Linked DNA regions of Drosophila melanogaster. The main gene of each other region encodes a partner of the protein of the gene in region 2 in a complex. Each region holds a gene or a part of one and is shown on either strand. Other genes may lie near its edges.

Region 1 (8,416 bases), 970 kb from region 2:
CCCCAAGCCCCACCCTGGCTGCCACGAGTCGCGGCGACTTGGAAAAAGTGCTGGCTATGCTGGTCCTCGGACTCGGGAGTCTTTTGTTCGGATTGCTGCCCGCCTTTATATCGGAACGGAATCGTCGCCGCTTCCCGCTGACCGCATCCCTGCTCCTGTGCTTCGGAGCGGGCATTCTGCTAGCCACCGCACTGGTGCACATTCTGCCCGAGGTAAGAGCTTGGACTGCGATCGTGTGTGTGGCTGCAATTTGATAACCTGCTGACTTACGCATGCAACAGGTGCGCGAACAAATGGACTCGAAATTCGCTGAGGTTGCCATGTGCGGCGGGTTCTTCATCATCTACTTTATCGACGAGTTCATACACTACTTCTTTGGCGAGGCCATTCAGCACACTCATGCCCACGATGCAGAGACTCCAGCAACCGAGCCACCAAGACGTCCCACTAATGACAATGGTTATGGCGCAGTGGACGAACGAGCGCCCCTTTTATCAGCGGAACCCAATACGTCACATGGGCATTCGCACCATCATAGCCAGTAGGTTTATTGCATTTCCCTTCCCGCAGCCAAAACTAATTGCTTTGTGCTTCGATTACGCAGCGATCATGACCACAATCACCCGGCCAGCGCATCTGGCTGTAATGATGCCAGTGTAGAGGACGCCAACGCCCGCATCTGCCACACCAGCCACACGGAACCCTGCGCCCAATCCATGACAGGCACTCTGGGTCTCTTTGTCGCCCTGTCACTGCACTCGGCCATCGAAGGACTCGCCATCGGCGTTCAGAACTCTTCCACAAAGGTCTGTGCCGCCTGCCTTGACATAGTTAGACTAGATCGGCTATAGTGCGCAATCTTAGGCAAATATTGAAGCAAAGAGATGCGAGGGCTTAGTCCAATTAGATAACCGGAATCTGCTTTGTCTCGTCGTAGGTTCTGTTTCTTCTAGGGGCCGTCGCCTGCCACAAGTTCGTGATGGGCTTTTGTCTGGGGCTCGAGTTCCGCTCGAATCCGCAGACGAGTTTTCGCGCCCAGTTCGTCGGCATTTCGGTGTTTGCCCTGGGCGCCGTCATTGGCATTGGCCTGGGCATGCTTATCGTGGACGTGCCCGCCGCTTGGTCCAGCAAAACTCTGCCTATCGTCCAAGCTCTGGCCGGAGGCACACTCTTCTACGTCACCGTCTGCGAGGTGATACCGCGCGAGAAGGCGCGCTGGCACTCGAACTCAACGCGACGCTGGGCGGGATTTGCACAGTTTGCAACTGTGCTCGCCGGCTTTGCGACCATGTGCATCATAAACTTTTATCTTTCTGGTGCGTAGCATTATGTGATTTGCATTTCCCTTTCGACATTGCTGACCTATTTTCTTCGCGCCTTTTCAGATGAGGATTAGACATCTTTTCGTTGAGAAATCGTTTCAGCGCTGTGAGAAAATGTGCCGCTTTTTAAACTTAGAACACTTAGGATAATATTATGGATTGGCAGCTGTTAATCTCTTGTGTAAGACTTGTTACTTGTGCATTTCCAACTAATCTTGTTTTAGGTACATTGTCGATCTGCCGTAGGATAAGTAAAAAGTTCAGTCTTCTCGTCTACATTTATATTTTCTCTTTCTCCAAAGTTTGTGTTATTTTTTATGCTTTTATTATATGTAATAAACCTTACAATTAAGTTGTTAATCAAAAAAAGGGCATCCTCTTTTCCTTTTGATTAATCTTACTTAGCCAACCATTAAACGCAATCATTTTATTACTTTCTGGGGACATCATGTCACTGTTTTAAACGAATTAAAACAACATCTATGTAACTACATCTCTATATGTATGTAAATAGGCATATGTGTATATATATATATAGTGTTTACCTAATCGTGAAATGTTGCTTGGTTGCTCTATTGGTGGTGTATGTGTGAAGAAACGGACACTCATAAATAGCTAAATGTTGGGTTGTTTGGTCTCTGATCTCTCATTTAAGGTCATTTGGGGAACTCCTCTTAGATTTACGATTTTCATGCTAGCAGGGCAACATACTTGGGATGGGAGGGGATTTACAATTACGTGAGATGAGTAGATTAGATCTTATACACTTAAACCAGTGCATATGCATATCTTATCATTCACCTTGATCTTCATTAACAATTTAATTTACAATAGAAACCGAAAATTCGCGCCGAGCTCAGGTGCGTTTATCTGCTGACCTGCGTTGAATCGCCAAACTTAGAACATAAATAAATCTAGTAATTATAGCTCCTCCTTCGCCGCCGCACTAACCCCATTCTCATCCTCGTCCTCATCGTCGTCACCCCATTCGCTAATGAGGCTCTTGACCTTGTCCACGCTGGCTGCTTCACCTGACGTTGCTTCATCACCTGCTTTTGCACTTTCTAGTGTCGGCTTTTCTGCAGTGGTTACATCCTGTGTCTGGTTTGGTTTGTCCTCGACGGCTTCCTTCTCGTCTGCCGTTCTAGTATCTTCATTATTTTCGGCTGCTTTTTCCGCTGCTGGTTCATCAATCTCCATTTGTTCGGTAGATACCTGCGTAGGTGGCACCAGGTCATCCTCGTCCGTTACTGACCTATCTAACGCCTCTGTCGTCGCATTCTCTTCAGATTGAACAATGTCCTTCTCCTGATCAGGTTTCTCGGCCTCGGCAATTAACTCATCTAGCAGCTCTTTGCGTATGTTATCGGCCTCTAGATGCACATCATCCTCGCCCTCAGAGGCAGTTACCGCCTCTCTTAATTCCGCCACGGAATCGGAATGCGGAATTGGTGAATCCTCTTTGATAAATTCCTCTTGATCGTTTTCAAGCTCAGCCTCTTTCTTGATCTGGACCTCGGCCTTCGAAGCCTTCTCGTCCGCCGCTTCTGAGTCCACATCCATTTTCTCGGGCTGACTATTTATATTGGGGACTGCGTCAACTGCATCGTCCGCACTGGTGACAGACTCCTCACTTGCCTTTTCTTCAGTTGCCTCTTCGGGTCCCTTGTGTAGAGACTGGAGAGCCAAGTCAATATCATCTTCTTCCTCGTGTACTGTTGGCTCAGGGTCCTTGTTGGCTAGTTCGGATGCAAGCTCTGCGGTAGCGGGCTTATCGTCGACATCGTCATCGTTCTCATCCTCCGTCCAGTCGCCGGTAAGCTCCTTTAGCTTTTCACTAATGTCATCTCGCGGCTTATCCGATTTTGGCTGTAAGTTGTATGACTCATGTTGTAGATGTACTTGCATAAAAGTGTTTAATAAACTCACCTCCTTGTTGCTCTGTTCTTCAGACTCGGCTATAAGGTTTTCGGCCCATTCCAGGTTGTCAATGGACTCTTTGCTTTCATCAGCAATGTTCTTTTTGGCGCTCTCCACAGAGTCGGCAGCACCCAGTTCGCTATAGATTTGACTGTCATCATATTCCTCTTCGGTGCCGGCCAGGGATTTTTCATCGGTCTCCTGCTTGACGTGCTCCGCTTCTGGCTCACTGAGCACCATTACCACACCGCCGGCAGTGGCGCCTGCTTGCTGCTGGTTAAGCTGTGAGAGAATCTCTTTGCGCTGCTCATCAGTAAGCTCCACCTCATTGCCATCGGCGCCCACGAATTTGACTTCCTGCTGCACCTGTTCAACATCTTCCTCTTGCAGTTGCTCCTGTTGAGCTTGCTGCACTGTGATGGCACTGGTGGCTGGTAGACTTATGTCCGAAAGGATTCGCACTTTGCCAGTCTGCTCTGGTTCCTGCTCTTCGTCTCCTTCGGCCTCTTCCTCCTCGTCTTGCGAGCCGAGGAATTCTTCGTCCGTTTCATCGATAATGCCATCCTCCAAAGCCTGCTCCTTGTGGTAGCTCTTCATGTGTCTGTACAGCTGCAGCTCTTGCTCGAACACCTTGTTGCAGTAGATGCACTGCTGCTTGTTGTCGTCCGTGTGCACCTCGTTTATGTGCGCCTCCAACTCACCCTTGGTCCGGTAAGACTGGTTGCATAGCGCGCACTCGGCAAACGTATACAGCAGCGACTTGGTCTGGTGCTCCATATACATGTGGAAATGCAGTTCCCGGTTGTTGACAGACCTCCACCCGCAATGCTCACAAAGCGCCGGATCAATTGTCTCCTTGTGCGTGTTGATCAGATGGCGTCGGAAGCCTCGGTACGACGGAATGCTAATGGGTCGTCCGTTTACGCCGCATCTCAGGCACAGCCAGGGCCCTGAAATATAGATATTCATTAGTAGTTGTTTTTGGGAACCTATTACCTACAAATGTTGTACTCACCAGTAGTATTCTCTGCTCCCTGAGCGATCAAGGCGTGCATTGTCTTACTATCAATGCGTCTCTTCTGGGCTGCGGCTGTATTTGCTGGTGGATTCGCCCCGGTTCCCTGGTTACCGGTTGTCTGCGAGGTTCCCGACTTTTGCTGAGAGCTAGCCGCCTTCTGTTGTGCTGTGATTAGTGGCGTACTCTTGTCGGCTTTGAAAGAAACGTGCAGTTTCTTGTGTGGCGATGTAGTTGCGGATGACTGGTTCGCCGGGGGTTTTACTGTCGCTGGAGCAGATTTTTCGGTCGGCGCTGCCGGGGTATTGGGCATAATCTTTAGCTTTATGTTTTTGTGGCCCTTTACAATGTGCGGATACTGGCGCAAGACTTCGGCAATGATCTTGGTGTGATTCAGCTTGGCGTTGGAGGAGTCCTTGACAATTATTGTTGGGGTCTGGCTGGGTGAGTCCTGTTTCAAGATAATGGTGGTGGATCCATGTTCTAGTTGGGTCTGTGTACCCTGTGGGGATTGCTGCTTAGATGTAGATGGCTGCGGTGGCATATCATCGTCATCATCGTCCCCGGCATGGACATCATCATAAAGCATTCCTCCATCGTACTCAGGATCGTTATCTCCGTACTCAGCGGCGATTTGCTTTCGCATCCGTTGTTGCTCAGCGAATTCCTTAACCTCTTCCAAACTGGGCTTCTTGGATGGCGGCGATAGCAGGCTTGTCTGTGCTGGTCTCTTGTTATTGTTATAACCCTTTCGCAGCTGCTCGAATGGTGACGTTGGCTCCTGCTTCACATTGCTACTATCTCCATACGGCGAACGATTTGAGCCACCTGATGTTCGGCTCATTGTGTTGCCAGTTGACCCGCGCTGTGTGTTGGCTCGTTGCGCGATGGGTGTGGCTACGTTTCGCGATTGCGGCGAAGGACCCAAGACGCGCTGTTGTGGAAGACCCGAACTGGGCTGTCCAACTGTGCGCCGGCGTATTCCCTTTGGACTAGGCGGCTAAAGAAAATAAAAGGTTACAAAATATTTTCACAAATGATGAATTGCCACCACTCACCCTTTGCTGGCGATTAACGTTCTCCATGGTGCGACGGTGCGCCTCTAGCAGCTTCAACAGCACCGTCATGTTCATTTCCTTGGCGGTGCGCAACAGCTTGCCGTACATTTTAAGCTCAAACTCCAGGGTGCCTGTGTACATGAAGTTGACAATGGGCACCACCACGTCCGCCTGGAACTCGTTGGGCATGATGAGGGCATCGTCGACGATCTCGCAGGTCTGCTCCAGTACATTGAAGTAGTCGGTGCAGGCGCTGAGCACCAGACGGTGTACCTTTAGCTGTGAATTGTCCCGAAACTGCAGCGTCAAATCGCAGTAATCCGTTTTATTAAAGAAGTTCTGCAGCTTCTGCAGGAAGAAGACTCCCCAGTTGTCCACTTTCACGGACTTGACTTCACCCATATTGCTGTGTGCTTGGCTAGTGGCCGTGCTCTCCGTTTCCGTATCCTTATCGTTAGCCTCCCCGTGGTTTCGCTTGCTCTGGCTTCAGGGCGCAACTGTACTCACGCAGGGGTAAGGAGTCGGAAAAAGCGTATTGGGATGGGACGCAGGTGAATGGGTAAAACAAGAAAGAATAACAATTAGTAAGTATGGTATATTCCGCTGTTAGTTTCAAATAGACGCCCGTTGATTTTGGGTTATTCGGTTTATTTTGCTCTGCCGCCACGGCGCGAAATGCAACTCGCAAATATCGATATACGCCTGTGTACGTGTGACAGTTTCGCGGGCGTATGTGTGCGATGTGCGCGTCGCCAGGCTTCTTGTATTATTTATCAGTAATTGTTCATTGTCCGCAATTCTGCAATGTTTTCTTGTAAGTCCAACTTTGGCATCTTTCGGTGGGTGGCATTTTTTGAGCCCTTTTGGCGCGCCTGTCCACTTCACACAACAATGGTTTTTTTGGGGCACGCACAAATCACTTTGACCTCAGCGGCTTGTTTACTGCGTGTCCTTTGATTGAATGTACTTTTTTCAGACAATCGCCGCACAATTGCACTTTTAATACATACATTTCTTTGAATTGCACACTACTTTTGCCGGACAAATTATAATTTTTTTCCAGAGTCAGGTCGCCATATTCTTTTCCATTCATCGTTGGCGTGACAGGGTTGCGCTCGGCAGCTATCGATAGCCATGCGATAACCTCAGTCTCATGCTTAACATTTTTAAGGTGACGTAAACGCAGATGAAGTTAATCGTTAAGTCTAAAAATATTTGAATATGATATACTTTAAGGTTATTGCAGTTTAAGCTAAATCTTACTAAACACAATACATATACTTAAAATACTTTAATAAATATTGTTTTGCAGTTGAAAACAAAATACATTTACTTAAACTATTGAAATTTTGAAAAGTGACATCGTAATGTGTCACATTTCTTGCGCCACCCTTCTTTGCAATCAAAATATATAAAACGGGTCGTCGGCTTGGCCACCACGAGACGTTAAAAACACTTTGATTCTTTTTTGCTTTGATAAAGTTTTAAACCAAAACATAATGAGTGGACGGAACCGCGGCAAAGGAAAGAAGGGTGGAGGAGGACCCTACCGCAATGTCAAAGCGAATCACAATTGTGCCCGCAGCTTTGCTCAGCAGGCCAACGAGCTGGCCAGCAGCAGTAGCAGCGAAAATGAAAGTTCCGACTCGGAATCCTCGGGAGATGGAGCCCAAAATGATCTCGGCCAGCCGCCGGAGTTTGCGGTGGCCATGTGGGACCTCAACCACTGCGATCCAAAGAAGTGTTCGGGCAGGAAACTGGCACGCCTAGGACTCATTTCAAATCTTCGACTGGGTCAGAAGTTTCCTGGCCTTGTCCTCTCGCCCGTTGGCCAGTTGTGTGTAAGTCCGCTGGATCGCGATGTGGTGGCCTCTTCGGGCGTGGCCGTGATCGACTGCTCGTGGGCCAAGCTGGACGAGACGCCCTTTGGAAGGATGCGCAGCCCACATCCGCGACTGCTGCCCTTCTTGGTGGCCGCCAATCCCATCAACTACGGAAAGCCCTGCAAGCTCAGCTGCGTGGAGGCCATAGCCGCCACTCTATACATCTGTGGATTCACGGAAGAGGCTCGCTGGTTTCTGGGCAAGTTCTCATGGGGTCATGCCTTTCTGGAGCTAAACGACAAGCTTCTCAATGCCTATGCAGCCTGCAAGAGCAGCGATGAGATTGTTAAGGTGCAGAATGAGTACCTGGAGAAGGAACAGCAGGAGCGGGATAAGCCTAGGGATCTTCGCGACTTCTATCCCACCAGCAGTAGTAGTAGTAGTAGCGAGACGGAGACCGAGGGCGATGATGAAGACACAAAAGCGAAACCGAAGAACTAATACAAGGTGCTGACATTTATTACCTTATGACAAAACATTTTACTTGTGTTTTAATTTACAATTTGGGAGCAAATTGAGAGCAACCACCGAATTATTGCAAACTGTTTTGATGAAATATTTACTTCAAGTCAAGAAAAGATTATTGCTTACTGTGCATTTCGCACGTACTCGGGATCAACGTTGATAAAGTTGCTCATGCTGAAAAATATTGAGCTGTTCTTTACGAGGAATTTAAGGAAATCCTGCACGTGCGTGAGTAGGTTCTGCATGGACTGCTGATCCAACGCAGAGTAGCTGAGCATTGAGCCAAGGCGGACAAACAGACGCAGCAGGTGAAAAGATCCGTAAAGCTCGGACAACGGTGTGTCCGGATGCTTCTGCATCACATCCGCGTACTGGGTGCGTTCGAATTTGTACAGCAACTGGGAGCCCAGCATTACATTGAAGTACTCTACAATTCCGTCGAGTACATCGTTTATGGCAACCTCCTTGCTGGCACTGGTCGATTTCACGGACTTCTTGTGCGCCAAATACTGCTCAGAGATCTGCTGCACGGTAACCTTGGCGGGCAGCTCCAGCAGTTTGTGCTCCCGCACCACCGCATACCAGTCGTCGGTCAGATAGTGCTTTAACTCGTCGGGTATCTTAATCTTGACCTCCACCTTAGCTGCGTAGGCCTCCTCGCTTTCCACACACGGTGCCGGCTCCGTGGTGGGTGTGGATGGAGTGGTAGTGGGCGGCAACGGCTTTTCTGCTACATCGCTTCCCGTAAGAGAA
Region 2 (8,886 bases):
GAGTTATTAAACAAGAAGAAGATCTCCTCTGGCGCACAGAACCGGAATTCCGCGCAGCTCTATGCAAATGACATATTCGGATGGCGTTTATTCTAAAAATTGGGAATATAAGCTATTATCTATGGCTCAAACAAAGTGCCATTGACAATGGCTCTATGAGCCCACGAAAGTCACTCAGCGCACAACGATGTAAGGAACAGGTTTGGAGCGATTGCGATTACGATTACTAGGTATCCACTAGGCTGAGGTCTTTGGAAGCGGCTCCAAATTAATCACCCGGCAATAGCGATAGAATGGGGGAATTTTTGTTAGCACCATCAGAAGACAGAAGGCGAAGGAGAAACTTATGAGCGAATCGATTAAAGAAGGTAATTAGATGTTCGGATAACCGCTAATTTCCGACGACATCCATCAAAAGACACGGATTCCTTCAGAAAAAAATGTGCACTCAAAGAAAATGTGTATATATAGCTATTCCATTTCAATTTAAAGAAAGTTCTCTAAGATATTTACAATCTTATGCTTGAGTAAAGTATCTCAATGTCTTTCTAGTCCCATTATCACTTGATAATACTATTATTTTTCGAGTGTACCTAACCCATTCGAGGGGCAGGGGAAATTTAAAATGCAGAGGAGTCGAGATGTGAAAAGAATTCGAATTTAATTTAAGCACAAACCTGAAATATAAGCAATGCTAATGCCAAACCCATAACCGAAATCAAAACGGCGTATACTTAATGAACGACTCGTGTTATGTGTATGATATATGTGTATGTTTGTCGCCTGGCTTACCCATGGGAGCTCGTTTCCCGGAGACATCTGCCGCCAGGATCTGTGCCTCCAGTTCCGCCTTGCACACCGTGTAGTTGAAGCCAGTGGCTCCGATGACAAGGTCAGCGAGATCCGGCGTCGCGCCCTGTGTGGTGTTCTCGAAATCAAAGTCATCGCACTCGATGCCCAGCTCCGATTTGTCCAGCATTGTGTCGCAGACGATCTTGTTGTAGCCGAGATTCACGCGACACGCCTTGTCCAGTGGGAAATTCTGCATGGCCACCGCATTGAACACGGAGGCCATGAAGTAGAAAAAGAAGAAGGGCTCGATGACCAGATAGTGGCGATAGCGCCACAGTTTCTGGAAATAGTTGAGCTTGGGCTCTGCATCCACTGCTCCACTGCCATTTCCAGCCGCATCTGCCGATGACCTTGGCTTTGCCATTTTTTTATAGCACTTGCTGAATTCCTCAAAACTCTTATTTTTTATACGATTCTATTCGATTCGATACGTCTCTGGCTCGGCAGGTTGCTCTAGCAGCACATTTTAAGCGATTTGATCAACACGTCGCGCCAGGTTCTAAGCTCAGACTAAACTAAGCGACGATTCCGGGGATCGGGCCAAGCCAAGCCAGGTCTACTACTCAAATACTCAAATGGGCAGTCGTTTGATACGCACAAGAAACTTGTTCAATCATTTCTTCGTCGCTTTCGGTTCTTATTTTTTTTATTTATTTTGTTTGTTGTCAGCTTCGATTAGAGCAGAACAATGATAAATATGAAGAATTGTCACCGGGCCGTGAACTGTGGAATTCGCACATGCCTCGGGGAGATTCGTTGCTCGCTCAGTTTTACATTCATAGATTGTCAGTCATAGTACACATTCATTTATAAATAAATAATGAAGACATTTGAATACAAGCGGGCTGACTTGATTAAGTTTATAACTATGAAATCTGGTTTTGCAGTTTATGTTGCCTAAATATGCAGCTTAACCTGCTAAATTTTATCATAAACCCGGAACACTTTCGTTGTTTTCTCAACTGCACTTGAACATTTGATCATTGAAATTAAGTAGTTTTGCCAAAACATATAGTAAGATGATACAGCAGTTTTCTCGCAATGAACTTATATATTTATTTTTAAGACTGAGCTATTTAAACATTTATACAAACCAAATCGAAGTTCTTGCAAGTGATTCAAAGTCATGCGGATCACATGCATTTTTTTTCAGTGCGAATGTTATTACATTAGGCGACAACCGAGAATGGAGCTGCACGTGGGATGTTTTTGCGGCATAGCCATGGGGGAATTCCAATTGTACGATTGCAAAGTGCCTTCGATTACTTAGGGCTACAATTAGAGGCAGATGGGTCGTCAGTTTCTACTCCGTCCAACGGTGGGTGCAGTTCTGGTTGGTGCACACGTAGTACAGTCGCATCTCCTCTTCGGCGCGACGAGTTTGCGCCTGGAAGAAGACCGCCTCCCGATGGGAGCACTTGGGACAAGCGTGGTCTTCGGTGCGCGGCAGCGTGGGATCGGAAATCACGTCGGGCACAATGTGGGTCAGCTCGTCGATCTCGTGCATAATCTTGTTCACGTAGATGCAGTTGGAGTCCGCCTCCTGTTTGTAATCGCAATTCCGGCAGGCGTACAGCAGGATCTTGTTCTCCTTGTCCTCCTTGGGGTACAGCATGTTGTTGCACTCCTGGCAGAACCGAATGCCCACGAATCCCGGCCCCTCAGTGTGTGCGGCATCAAAGGCAGTCGTCATGGCTATTGGCTTACAATTATTGCTAGTTAATTGCAATTTGTGAGTTAATGCGGCTTTTATTTACCTTTTTATCGTTGCAATTGGCGAAAGTGTGACCGTGGCAAGGCGGCTTAAATATACCGAGATCATGGGATAGGTATACCTCATTAACATACTAGCCTTTAACCCTTGTGAGCACTGCTATTTTAATTATATGCTTATATATTTTGTTTTTTATTTTATCAAAATGCATATTAAAGAATGCATTTATTTGTATTTTATTCAATTACTTTTTGTATAAAATGTTAAACCTGATAATTATCTTACCGAGCAACGGCTGCGGTGGCCTTCGACTGAAATTATATATAAATAGTGAAATGTTCCATATAAGCTTTATTGTTCGGATCATTAATCTATGCTTACAAAGTTAACCAATAAAAAGTTAATATAATATTAAGCCAGACACCGGCTATTTATTTTAAATTTATGTTGGAATTATTACAAATTTACAACCCAGAAGATTCAAAACAGAGGAAATTTCTTTGTACTTTTCATGGCGGCATGTTCAGATTATTTTTTCACGGGTTGTTGTAATTAATGGTATTTTCCAACCTACATGCAACGGTCACACTGAATTTTCATACACAAACGCTTGTCGTGTTGGAATTTAAAGCATAAAATTAGGTAAATTGTGATTTATTATCGGAAATGCGGTCAAAACCCTTTAAGGAACGCATCCCGTGATATGAGGACATGTTTGTGAAGCAAATACCTTAGCCAGTGACTTGATAATTTCACGCTCTTTATCGGCGATGGCAGTCACTTTCTTTCGCTGCGGAGCAGAAAAGTGCACTTCTAATCAGCAAAATAAGTGGTTAAAACCGATCCTCCACGTCCTTCGCCGGCACAAAATCACATTAAATATTTGAAAAGTATGCTACGGATTTGCGAGTGTATTAGAATTATTTGCTACCCCTTTGAAATACAATTTTATTTCAGAAGAAAACTTGTTGCGTTTTCTGTGCGTCAGGCGCAGGTAGTGTTGTCTCGCTCACACCAAGGCCGATCGATCGTAAAGATCGAACAGCGCGACGCCATTTTTTCTTAGCAGCTTTTGGGCGTGTGTTGGTGACGCTGGCAAAATGTGATGTTCAGTAAATCACGTGCCTAAAAGTAGACTAAAGCGGTCACTGGTTATCCTGATCCTGAATTATCATCCAATCGATCTTAATTGCAGGCTGGTATCACCAACATGAGTGCCTCCAAGGAGGGCAAGGAAAAGAAGGGCAAGCTGCTGGGTGTGGAAAACATTTCGCCGCCTAAGGACAAACGTCCCGCCACCAGGATGAAGCTCTTGAATGACGTGGGAGCTGGTGAGGATTCGGAGGCAAGCACTACTACTACCACATCAAGAACTCCCTCCAACAAGCAGGAGAAGCGTGGCAGTGTCGCTGGATCGCGCATCAAAATACTCAATGAAGAAATACTGGGCACTCCGAAAACTGAGAAACGGGGCGCCACAAAGAGCACAGCTCCGGCTGCTTCCACTGTGAAGATTCTGAACGAGAAAAAGACACCCAGTGCTACCGTGACAGCCGTGGAAACTACCAAGATCAAGACGTCTCCCAGTAAAAGAAAGAAAATGGAGCACTATGTACTTCAGGCTGTGAAATCAGAAAATACCAAGGCGGACACCACGGTTACCGTGGTCACCGAAGAAGATGACACCATTGATTTCATTCTAGCGGATGATGAGGAAGTAGTTCCGGGCAGAATAGAAAATAACAACGGCCAGGAGATCGTTGTCACCGAGGACGATGAGGATCTAGGGGAGGATGGTGATGAGGACGGTGAAGACTCCTCAGGCAAGGGCAACTCTAGCCAGACAAAGATCAAGGAGATCGTGGAGCATGTGTGTGGCAAATGCTACAAGACCTTCCGTCGCGTTCAGAGTCTGAAAAAGCATCTAGAGTTCTGTCGCTATGACAGTGGGTATCATTTGCGCAAAGCCGACATGCTTAAGAACCTGGAGAAGATCGAGAAGGATGCCGTGGTGATGGAGAAGAAGGACATATGCTTCTGCTGCAGCGAAAGTTACGACACCTTCCATGTAAGTCATAAAGATTGATACCAAGAGAAGTAAGCATAACTTTCGCATACCACATTTTCCTTTCAGCTGGGTCACATTAACTGTCCCGACTGCCCCAAGTCGTTTAAGACACAGACCAGTTACGAACGCCACATTTTCATCACTCACTCCGAGTTCAGCGATTTTCCTTGCTCCATTTGCAATGCCAACTTGCGCAGCGAGGCCTTGTTGGCGCTCCACGAGGAACAGCACAAGTCACGTGGCAAGCCGTATGCATGCAAGATCTGCGGCAAGGACTTCACCCGCTCGTACCACTTGAAGCGCCACCAGAAGTACTCATCGTGCTCATCGAACGAGACCGATACCATGAGCTGCAAGGTGTGCGATCGTGTCTTCTATCGGCTGGACAACCTGCGATCGCATTTGAAGCAGCATTTGGGTACACAGGTGGTTAAAAAGCCGGAGTACATGTGCCACACGTGCAAGAATTGTTTCTACAGCCTGTCCACGCTGAAGTAGGTTTTCTAATTGATTTTAAAAGACATAAAGTAATGTTCGGTATATTTTCGCAGCATTCACATACGCACTCATACGGGGGAGAAACCATTTGACTGCGATCTTTGCGACAAGAAGTTTTCTGCATTGGTGGCCCTTAAAAAGCATCGACGCTATCACACTGGCGAGAAACCATACAGTTGCACTGTGGTTAGTCTTAAAACTTCCGTAACTTTTCATTTAACCTATTGTAACAATGCGGTATTCTATTACCTTTTAGTGCAACCAAGCATTTGCCGTAAAGGAAGTGCTCAATCGTCACATGAAACGGCACACTGGAGAGCGTCCGCACAAGTGTGATGAATGTGGCAAGAGTTTTATCCAGGCCACCCAGCTGCGCACCCATTCCAAAACCCATATTCGCCCCTTTCCCTGTGAGCAATGCGACGAAAAATTCAAAACAGAGAAACAGTAAGATATTAAAAAACCTTTTATCTTTTCTGTTAGCCCTACTTACTTATTGCAATTTTGTTTCGCAGACTTGAGCGCCATGTGAAGACCCATTCTCGCACAAAACGCCCCGTCTTTTCCTGCGCCGAGTGCAAGCGTAATTTCCGCACTCCAGCATTGCTCAAGGAGCATATGGACGAGGGAAAACACAGCCGTAAGTTGGAATCGACAATTGGCAATAATCAAGGCTTTAATCCCGCTCCTACCCTTTGTAGCGAAACAACAACGGTCATCAATGCGATCGGCCGTCAAAATTATGGAACGCACGGATTGCGCCATTTGCGATAAGAACTTTGACAGCAGCGATACCCTGCGACGGCACATACGCACCGTTCACGAATGCGATCCGGATGACATTTTTGGCGTTGAGCCGCATCCATCAAAGCGGGCAAAGAAGGACATCGAATCGGAGGAGGTTGTACCAGTGGCGTTAAACACATCGGCGGGCTCGTTAATTTCTAGCCAAACGGACGGGAATGGCGTTGTGGTGCGTGAATTCCTCGTGGACGAAGGCGATGGCGCGGCCCAGACCATTACACTAGAAAACGAAACATACACAATTCTGCCCCTGGACGGGGCCATCGAGGGAGAGCAGCTGACGGATGAGGCTGGCGTTAAGCCCGAGGCGAAGAAGGAGGAGGCGCAGGTCTCGCCGGTGGTAAAGAAAGAGCAGCGTAAATCCCTGGCCGCCAGTCTGGCCGCTGCCATCGCAGATAATTTGGAAGAATCATGTAGCGAGGATGACTTCAGTGGCGAAATTCTAACTGAGGAGGACATAAAGCTCAAAGAGAATGTGGGTAAACTTATTGATATGCTAGTGGATCCACCGATCCTAAAGAAATACGGCTGGCCCAATGCCCCCGAGGAGACGGTGCTCTGCAAAGTGATCGAGAACTGTGGCCACGACCTAACCAAAGGTGGCGAAAACTACGCTGAGCTTGACTACGGTAGCCGCATGCGAGAGTACTGCAAACTGCTCTTTACCGTGGTCATTCACAACGATTCCATCAAGTCGCTGCTCAATAATTTCCCCATCGACGATGTGATCGAATATGTACTGGGAGATGAGGATCAGGACGAAGGTGGATTGGACAAAGACAATGAGTCACATTCAGGTGATGAAGAAGCGGTGTCGGTCACAGGCGAAACTAAAACAAATGAAATCAGAGAGAAACCGGAAAAGAAGGAAGTTTCGGCGAAATCTGAAAAGAAGGAGATCGTGGGGAAAGCTGTGGATAAGGATAACTCAGAGGAGGTGGTCCGGGAAAATAAGAAAAAACCTGTAGGCGAACAAGAGAAAGCTTGATTTTCCAGCCCTTGATGCATGCGTACAATTACCGCACAAAAACCATATTCTAGGAATTGATCGTTGATGATTTTTACAACATTTGTATTTTTAAGATCGTTGGTTTTGGTACAAACACCAAGTGACCTTAAAAGAGAAACTTACCGTCTGTTGCTTGAATATTCAGACATCTTGCGCATTGACAAATTACCCAAAAACAAACAAACCAACATATTACATATCAAAGATATTTTGATATTATTATATAGATTTTATATATTTTTGAATTGAATGATGTTACCAAGCAATATATGCATGGCTATTTTTATAGTACTCTTATTAATTATAAAATATACAAATTCAATATTTTCGATAAAACTCTCTTGAATTTTTAACAATGCTTATTAATCCTCAATGCTTACTGTTCCATCATCAACTTCAGAATACGTGCGTTGTTTTGCAAGATCTTGTGGCGACTCTCGTCGATTAGCTCCCGGTACTCCGCAATGCTGGCTTGGATTTGCTGCAACTGATGCTGCAGGGGCTCCGTGGCAGATGCCGTGAGAGTCTGCTCCCTTTTTAGTTCCGTGGATGCCTGCGTGTAGGTGTCGCGCCACATCGTAAGCTCCAGCTGCATTGCATCAAAATCCTCGGGTATGCAGTCCAGTAGTTTACCCAGCGGACCTATCGACTTGGTGAGCTTTTGGACTACGTCGCGTACGTCGTTCACCTGGCGCGCAGAAGTTTGTCGGCCTGCCTGTGCTGGAGGCGGTTCCACTTCGGCGCCTTGATTGACCAGTTCCTTTTGCGTTTCCAAGATCTGCTGCACCAATCGTCCCTGGGCATCGAGCTGTCCTTCCAATGCCGGTTCGTCACCGCCACCTTCGACAATATCATGGGCGGCGGAATCTTCTATGATCACCAGGTTCTCTCCGTCGTCGTCCAAGTCGCCAAAGGTTTCAAGCTTTACATTTATGCCCGACATTTTGATCTGATCGTTTGGCTGGAGCACGATCTCCACATTGCGACGTCGTGGAGCTCCGGGACGTGCGGAGGCGGGTCGAGCGGATGGAGGTCTAAGTGAGGTTCTGGGCCGTTGATTCACTTCCTTAGAGTTCTCTCTGGTGAGGGGAACCTCCCGCTTCGCTTCGCCGCTGTTGGTCTCCGGTGGAGAGCTGGTTTCTGACGACTGCACCGCTGGCTGGGATTGGCTCTCATTGGGAATGGGATTAGGTTCCGGTTGCCTGTGGCTGCCACTAGAACGGCGACTTCTGCTAGAGGATTTGCGACTCTCAGGCTCAGCTGGTGGAGCAGTTGGAGTTTCCTGGACAGGTCTCACCACTGCCTCCTTCTCTTTTAATGGAGGAACCTGTTTGGGTATACGCATAACTTATGGATTTCTAATTTTAAAGCAAATTAACTTATTTTTCTTACCATTTCCGGCTCTGGTTTGCTTGGAGCACTTTCGCTTGCAGCAGGCTTGGTTGATCCTTCTTCCACTGGCGACATAGACTGGCTAAGATTATCGCTCTCTGTTGAAGGCTGCAGTTTGGCTTTGGACTTCTGCTTAACTGGTGACGGACTCTTTTGCTTCGAGTTTTGTCGACTTAACTTCGTCTCATCCTTGGGTGCCTTGGACTTCTTCTGGGATGCTTTATCCTTCTCGGTGGGGGGAGTAGAACGGGACACCTGTTCTTTGACCTTGCGCAGCTTCTGCTCTTGAGGCGATATACGTTTCTCCTTGCGTCGCTTTGCATCCTCATCCTTGCCGGCGGGTGAGGGATTTTTGCTTGAATTTTTAGTTTCCTTCGGTGGCTTGGTAAGCGTCAGTGGTGTTTTGCTGTGGGAAATCACCACCTGATCCACAATGCTGTCCCACTCCAAGTTCTTTTCCGCAACACTGGCCATCGCCTGGAGGAGCTCATTGGTGAGCTCCGGTTCCTGGCCAGCAACTATTTTTGAAGTGCGTACTTTGAGATCCAG

What was found. The genes of interacting proteins can lie anywhere in the genome.
Region 1: su(Hw) (region 2) and Cp190 share a complex: the UniProt entries of both Drosophila melanogaster proteins name them as parts of the gypsy chromatin insulator complex.

What each region holds. Positions count from the first base shown.
Region 1 is NT_033777.3:15,268,800-15,277,215, forward strand, and holds Cp190 (centrosomal protein 190kD), read right to left. Parts: upstream 6,443-8,416; 5' UTR 6,326-6,442; intron 5,992-6,325; exon of another isoform or gene 5,813-5,991; 5' UTR 5,718-5,812; coding exon 5,316-5,717; intron 5,258-5,315; coding exon 4,258-5,257; intron 4,193-4,257; coding exon 3,252-4,192; intron 3,192-3,251; coding exon 2,244-3,191; 3' UTR 1,633-2,243; downstream 1-1,632. Other genes in the region: Zip88E (Zinc/iron regulated transporter-related protein 88E), read left to right, coding at 1-212, 282-541, 605-806, 938-1,316, 1,386-1,396; CG4338 (uncharacterized protein), read left to right, coding at 6,815-7,639; MRG15 (MORF-related gene 15), read right to left, coding at 7,786-8,416. UniProt on the Drosophila melanogaster protein: Plays a central role in chromatin domain organization and boundary function through recruitment by a range of insulator DNA-binding proteins, including ZIPIC, pita, CTCF, su(Hw), cliff and others.
Region 2 is NT_033777.3:14,302,846-14,311,731, reverse strand, and holds su(Hw) (suppressor of hairy wing), read left to right. Parts: upstream 1-3,142; 5' UTR 3,143-3,456; intron 3,457-3,523; exon of another isoform or gene 3,524-3,697; intron 3,698-3,761; 5' UTR 3,762-3,776; coding exon 3,777-4,634; intron 4,635-4,700; coding exon 4,701-5,128; intron 5,129-5,185; coding exon 5,186-5,318; intron 5,319-5,388; coding exon 5,389-5,579; intron 5,580-5,647; coding exon 5,648-5,772; intron 5,773-5,833; coding exon 5,834-6,924; 3' UTR 6,925-7,277; downstream 7,278-8,886. Other genes in the region: CG31321 (uncharacterized protein), read right to left, coding at 793-1,216; Polr2I (RNA polymerase II subunit I), read right to left, coding at 2,156-2,545; IFT54 (intraflagellar transport 54), read right to left, coding at 7,322-8,272, 8,338-8,886. UniProt on the Drosophila melanogaster protein: Component of the gypsy chromatin insulator complex which is required for the function of the gypsy chromatin insulator and other endogenous chromatin insulators.